Rattus norvegicus: one gene and its partner. The protein of the gene in region 2 binds, or shares a complex with, the protein of the main gene of each other region. Links are inferred from orthologs where the notes say so. Each region holds a gene or a part of one and is shown on either strand. Other genes may lie near its edges.

Evidence for each region. Proteins that work in one complex are often made in the same cells at the same time.
Region 1: Dlg4 (region 2) and Shisa6 share a complex: the UniProt entries of both Homo sapiens proteins name them as parts of the postsynaptic hippocampal AMPA-type glutamate receptor (AMPAR) complex. The link is inferred for Rattus norvegicus from reciprocal best matches to the Homo sapiens genes DLG4 and SHISA6.

What each region holds. Positions count from the first base shown.
Region 1 is NC_086028.1:51,404,591-51,408,243, reverse strand, and holds part of Shisa6 (protein shisa-6 isoform 1 precursor), read left to right. Parts: intron 1-2,923; coding exon 2,924-3,076; intron 3,077-3,653. UniProt on the Homo sapiens protein: Involved in maintenance of high-frequency synaptic transmission at hippocampal CA3-CA1 synapses.
Region 2 is NC_086028.1:55,256,635-55,260,287, reverse strand, and holds part of Dlg4 (disks large homolog 4), read right to left. Parts: intron 726-3,653; coding exon 430-725; intron 259-429; coding exon 156-258; intron 6-155; coding exon 1-5. UniProt on the Homo sapiens protein: Postsynaptic scaffolding protein that plays a critical role in synaptogenesis and synaptic plasticity by providing a platform for the postsynaptic clustering of crucial synaptic proteins.

The DNA of each region.
Region 1 (3,653 bases), about 3.9 Mb from region 2:
GGAAGAATGGAGGCTTGGCTATGGATACCATCTAAAGAAAAACAACCAGTGTGCAGGAATTGGTGAAGGTGAATTTAATTCTGAATTATAGAATATGCTATGACTGTAGAAGATAGAAGAAAAAAATGTTCCCTAGGTAGTTTGAGGTTGGAGTCAGAGATGATTTCATTAGTCTTTGAAGGGAGTAACAGAAGGCTTGAAAGTGGGAACTATCTGTGCAAGAATTCTTCAGAGGGGAAATAGAAGGCAGAGGCAGAGAGTCTGGGAGATGCTGTGGGGATTAGTGAGTAGGAAGAAGAGTCAGAAAAGGCAGACCAGGAACGCTTGCACTTGTTCAGTAACATTCAGGAAAGAACAACTACTGAGCTGAGCCTCCTCAGGAAGAGCCACTACAGGCATCGAGCACAAACAGAAGGGCTGTTCCCTACTCCACCTCTTCCTGTCTCCTCACTTCCAGCTGGTACAAGGAGATGGGGATAGATGGAGCCCCAATGTCAGTTCTCAAGCAGCTTGCAGAATATTTGAAGCAGAGCTCATTCCTTTCTTGTCTAATACGCTTTCCCCCAACACCAGAGAATAATTAGAACTACTGGGAAGTCCAGAAAGACCCACAGCTACTTGGTCAACCCAAAAAACATTAACTAGAGCCTTAGTTTGTGCCATTATTATTGGAGAGAAACCAGAAATATTAGAAAGCTTGTCTACTGATGCCAAGATCTTTGAAGTCATTTGGGATGACCAAAATCAAGTCATATCAAATCATTAGAAATTAGTAAGAGACTGAGTGTCACTGAGTAAATTGGGGGGTGGGGGGCTTAGGTAGAAGAGCCGATATCACTGAGGACTGACAAAATGTAACAAGGTCACAGTCAAAGCCTTTAGTTAAGGAAGAATGTGGTCAAGGAAGGAAAAAATAAAGCACGGCATCCCAAACAAAAACAATCTTGATCGAGGGGTTCTTAGGCAGCCACAGTCAGGACAAAAGGCAGAATGTTCTTGGCTCAGTGGTAATTTCAGAATAAGTGGTAGATGACAGCATATAAACCTACTGCGTTTGGAAGAGGGAGAACGGAGCAATGACCTCAGTGGCAGAAAGATGCCAAGACTCAGAAGGAACCCTGTTCTTCCCCAGCGTGGTGAGAACTGAAGAAACAAGAAGTAGTGGATCCGTGGCTAAGCAAGTCTAGGGAGCAGCACTCGCAGCGCCAGGCCCACTCCACTTCCTGGCATCTGTCCTAGTCCATGCCAGGGAGGCTTGCTCTGTACAGCATGTTCTGATCTCTTGGGATACAGAGCATCCCTCACCCCCTCACATATGTACGAAGCTGGCACAAACACCAGCTTATTGGCTGAAATCCCCTGGCTCAATCCCCAGATCTGGGGGTGACAATGCAGGCAGGGGAGGGGAGAGAAGCCAGGAGTTCCCATGCCTGGGGCAAGCCTTGGATACAGCCTAGGAAGGTGACTCTTTCTCCCAGGGACAACAGAATTCTTGCAGTCTGTAATGCAGCAGTCTCTGCCAAGAGGTATAGGAAACTACAATTCACCTACACATTGATCCCAGCTTGGGGCTGCCCCTTCTCAGAGAAACTATGGCTTTGAGGGGTTCCAGACAAAGAGGATGGATAGATGGTACAGCCAGACTGCTGTTTCCCTACTCATTTGTGGAAATGGTATCACTATCTCCCCGGAAACCAACTGTTGACTTCCTTTTTATGGTTCCTCCTTCTCAAGTCAATCAAGTATTGGGGCATTTTGTTTCCTTTCCCTGAACCTCCATTTCCTTCAGATCCTGATGCTCACCGTTCCCTTACCCATCCTTTACTCCTGTCTTGTGTTTATCTTTAATCTTTCCTCCAGATACCACTCACCCTGAGTATGCCATCATCATTTATCCACTCTGGTGACCACTCACACAAATCTCTATTCCTTTCTTGACTCTTCCCCTGGACCTAGCAATGAACCATACTCTGTTGTGTGTCTGGAATCTTGGGGTCTATCTTAGGGAAAGTGGGAGAAAAGAAAAAAGTATGATAGGCAGATTTTGCTCAAGTTTCTCCTTCTGGGAGCTTAGAAATTCCTAAGGCAGTCTCTGAGAAAGGACTGAAAGTAAGCAAACAGTGGTAGCTGTGTAGCTCACAGAGACTTGCCAAACATGGAGACTAGAAAGACCTAAGGGAACTCCCCTGGAGATGCATGGCACCATGGATTGAATGTGGATTGCTGTTAGTACTGTGCAGGCTCAATACCCCAGCATAGGGGAGTGCTAGGGCAGTGAGGCAGGAGTGAGTAGGTGGGGTGCTCCCTCATAGAAGCAGGGGAAAGGGGGAGAGGATAGGGGAAGGAAGTCAGGAGAGGAAATAGAGGAAGAACCTGGAGCAAGAATTGAAACAGAAGCCATAGAGGAGTACTGCTTACTGGCTTCTCCTTCATGGCTTGCTCAGCCTGCTTTCCTAAACCATGTAGGGTGATGGTCCCAAGGGGGCACTGTTCCTAGTGAGACAGGCCTTCCTACATAAATCATTAATCAAGAAAATGCCCACACAGACTTACCTACAGGCAAGCTGATGGGGGCATCTTCGCAACTGCAGTTCCTCTTCCCATGGGACTCTAGCCTGTGTCAAGTGGCCAAAAGGCTAGCTAGGACAATGCTCTTTCAGTGCACGTGGTTCAGTTTCATCAGACAGACCAGCGATGCACTGGAAGAAGACATCGCTGCTGAGTGTTACAATTGAGTCCTCAGGGACTAATCAATATTCACAGGAGCCTGAGGCACCTAAGACAACACCTTGAGAACTGTCCCCACTGGATCCTAGCATAGGAAAGCAGGATGGGGACTCTAGTCAGGGGTGGAGCAGAAAGATGAGAGAAAACTTGGCCACACTGCCTTTCTGTTCACTGATGCCATGCCCTTGCTTTTCAGAGAAGCCACGGATGAATAACATCCTGACATCAGCCACAGAGCCCTATGACCTCTCCTTCTCGCGCTCTTACCAGAACTTAGCCCATTTGCCTCCATCATATGAATCTGCAGTGAAGACAAATCCGAGCAAGTACTCATCTCTGAAGAGGCTAAGTAAGTCAAGGCTGGCTGGAGTGTCGGGCTGTTTCAAGGGTCTCCAGGTTATTCTCTTCCATGGCACTCTCTTTTGGAGTATCCAAGGGACTAATTATGGAATCCCAAGAGCGAAGGAGTGAGTTGTACAGAGGATAAAGAGAATAGACAGAAACTTTTCTTTTGTTCTATTGGTCCTAAGCCCACCCTTTTCCCAGTGAAGAATGATGCTATAGGGCCCTGAGGCCACCTTATCTATCTTTACAAGCTGTACTTACCATTCATATGTCAGCTCAAAGGGGGGCTTCTTCAAACCATGAGCCTAACTGTGTCATTTCCTGTAATTGAGGCAGCAAGGGCCAAAAGAACCATTCTATCCCAGCCAAGACCATCTCAAGGGCCTGAAGCCTGCTTTATCCAGGCATCCACCTCTGCTATTTGAGTCTGAAATGGGTGTTCACATTGGTGGGTTTAACACACTAAAATGTCAGAAAGTATATTTAGGGACATTTTTCTTCACTGACCTGATCTGTGTAGCCTGCTCTCATTTCCCTACAAATGAGTCAACACCTCTACCTGTGTATTTCTCTCTCTCTCT
Region 2 (3,653 bases):
ATACTCTGAGAAAGGACAAGAAGTTTCTGGAACTCTGTCCCATCCTAATGCCACACCCCATCAACCCTCGCTCCACCCCTACTGAGACCATCCATCAGCTAAAGAGACAATGCTGAGGTCCACCTTAACCAAGACAGAAAACTTAGGCGTGGTACCTTCTGGTTTATACTGAGCGATGATCGTGACCGTCTGACCCGCATTCTTCAGGGCAATGGCAGCCTGTTCGTGACTGGCATTGCGGAGGTCAACACCATTGACCTAGAAAGGGGAGAAGATGCTATCACCTGGGATGGGAAGACAGTCATTCTTAGGAGTGAGTGGGTCAGGGAGTGGTCCAGCTGGACCAGGCTTGAGCCCATCCAGTCCCTCCCCAAGAGCAGAGAACTCCCTTTGGGGGGCAGTGCAGACCCTTGCACAGGCCTCTCTCACCGACAGGATCTGGTCCCCCTTCCGTAGCTCCCCACTGAGGTCGGCTGGACCCCCAGCAAGGATGAAGGAGATGAAGATGCCTTCACCATCCTCGCCGCCCACAATGTTGAAGCCCAGGCCGGTGGAGCCCCGATGGATCACGATCCGCCTTGGTTCCCGGGGAATGTCTTCCTCCCCCAGCAGGTCCTTGGCCACAGGGGAGTAGCGCCGAGGGGAAGTGGGGGTCATGGCTGTGGGGTAGTCAGTGCCCAAGTAGCTGCTATGACTGATCTCATTGTCCAGGTGCTGAGAATACGCTGAGGGCAGACAGGGCATGAGATGAAGATGTTGTGACCGTGGCACCCACCCATCTGTCCCCTCCAGAGGGAGCCCAGAGCCAGGTTCAGTCAAAGAGGAATTATTCTGCCAAAAAGGTATGTGGGTGACCCGCAGCAGGGGTCAGAAGTTTACAGATGACATCAAAGGGCAAGGGTTGGGAGGTCATATGTCTTTAGTATGCCAGGAATGGGGCCAACAGGAGGATATTGGCATCATGCTTTTGACTGCCTTTTGGTTAAAGTGTCTCTCAGGTCTCTCAATGCCCCTCCCTCTGCCCAGTCATTAGGGTTTTTTGTTGTTTTGTTGGGTGATTGTTTTTTTTTAAAACTGGGTCATTTGTCTAAAGTATTTCCCACATTCTATGAGCGATAATAGTCACTTGTTTCCCTGTGGTCTTGCTTAGCCTGTGCCCCATCTCTGCTCCCTTTTTGTTTCCCTGGGCTTGTCCCAGAGGCTTAGTAGGCTCAAATTCAATATGAAACGTTCACCCAGCAAGGGGCGAACTGTGCCTGCCACAGGACGCAGTGACGTCTGCTGGGTGTGGTACCCACACTTTAGATCCACTGGGACAGTAGAACCCCAAGTTTCAGGCCAGCCGGGGCTATGTAGTAAGACCTTGTCTCAAAAGAAATGGGGAAGTGTGAGCTGACTGCCTGTCTTTCTAGGACTGTCAGGTTCTGGGGTCATCATCTGACCTGCTCGTTACAATACCCTTCTACCAGAGTCCTTATGGGCATTCAGGGTGGTGTCTAAGGTTGGTGTTCACAGGGACTGCAAAGTGTTAATGTTGTACAATCATTAATAAGATTTTTACAAAGGACTCTCCTACCTGCTGAGTGTTGTGTTCGAGCCTACTATCCCACTGAGGAGGACAGGACGGCACTGAAGGCTAGTGCGGGTTACATGGTGACTTTGACGCTATCTTGGGCTATATAATGAGACCCTATCTCAAAACAAAAACGGTAAGAAAACAGACCCACACACGCACCAGAATTGCTGCCTGGCAACCTTGAGCTGACTCTGTGATGAGCGTACACAGTTGTGGGAGCAGATGACTGAGCCTCTCCCTTATTTACATTTCCATGAAGAAATGGCCTGTCTCTAGGTGTTCCAGCATTCTCCAAGGGTAACAAGGGGAAATGCTGCCGTGAAGATGGGACCCCAGGTCTTGCTCAACCTGTACGTCCACCACATGATGGCTCCCCAGCCTGAGTCCATTTGACCAAGTTTGGTTTTGGTTTTACTTTCAAGTCTCCCACTTTCAAGGATCTCACTATGTTGCTTACGCCTTCGCTGAACTTGATCCTCCTACTTCACTTTTGAGTACCTGTGTCCATCGCCATGCGGTACATCTGCTGCCATGCCTGATACCCAATTGTTTTCAAAGGTATTATTCTGGGGGCTGGAGAGATGGCTCAGCGGTTAAGAGCACTGACTGCTCTTCCAGAGGTCTTGAGTTCAATTCCCAGCAACCACATGGTGGCTCACAACCATCTGTAATACCCTATTCTGGTGTGTCTGGTGTACTCATATCCATTAAATAATATTTAAAAAAAATAAAGGTATTATTCTGACCTCATGTGTTTGCATATAAAATAAATTATGTAAGGCCAGAAAAATCCTCTTCAACAAGACTGCTGTGACACTAATAATCCTGGGCCCCTTCCTGGCCCTCTAGTATGACTTACACATTTACGTATTTGTTTCTGGCTTGGTTATTTGGTGGTGGTGATGTGTGTGTGTGTGTGTGTGTGTGTGTGCGCGCGCGCGCGCACAAGCATGGAGGCCAAAGGCTGACTTCAAGGGTCTTCCCAAAATCATTCTCCATCTTAATTTTTATTTGTTTGTTCATTCGTTTGTTTGTTTATATACAGGATTTCACCACCTACCTCCGGTTGTCCTAGAACTCACTATGTAGACCAGGCTATCCCTGAACTCACAGAGCTCCACTGACATTTGCCTCCCCAGTGTTGGGATTAAATGCGTGTATCACAATGCCCAGCTCCACCTTACTTTTTAAGACATGGTCTCTAGCTGGATTTAGAACTCACAGACTAGGCTAACTGGGCAGTAAATTCCAGGAACCCATCTGTCTCTGCACACCCCTCAGAGTCAGGATGGAAGTCATGCATCACAGCACCCAGCTTTCTGTGAGTGTTAGAGAGCAAGACTCTGGTCCCATCTCCCCAGCCCTATTTTAAAACAAACAAACGAAAAAGGGAGGGAGGAAGGAAGGAAGGGAGGGAGGGGCCTCGGGGCTGGAGAGATGGCTCCGTGGTTAAGAGCACTGACTGCTCTTCCAGAGGTCCTCAGTTCAATTCTCACAACCATCTGTAATGAGATCTGATGCCCTCTTCTGGTGTGTCTGAAGACAGCTACAGTGTACTCATAATTAATTAATTTAAAAAGAAACATGGCCTCATATAGCCTAGGCTAGCCTTAAACACACTGTGTAGTCTTGAATTTCTGATCCTTCACCTCCTCCTCCTCCTCCTGATCACCAAGAGCATGTGTATACTTCGTGTATACTGGAAAAGCACTCCACCCACTAAACACATCCCCAGCCATTTTTTGAGGCAGGTTCTATGTAGCCCAGGTTTCCCTTAAAATCTCAATCCCCCTACATTAGCCTCCCAAACCTTGTGATTACCAGTACATTCTACCCCTCCTGCCTCTTGTGCTTCTTGCCAAGACTGGAAACCATCCCTTTCCCCAAGGAACTCAAGTTAATTTTGGTAAGTTCAGAACTAGTACCAGAGGCTGGATGGTGATGGCGCACACCTTTAGTCCTGGAACTATGGAGGCAGAGGCAGGAAGATCTCTGAGTTTGAGGCCAGCCTGGTCTACAGAGCAAGTGACAGGACAGCCAGGACTACACAGAGAAACCCTGTCTCAGAAAAACAAAC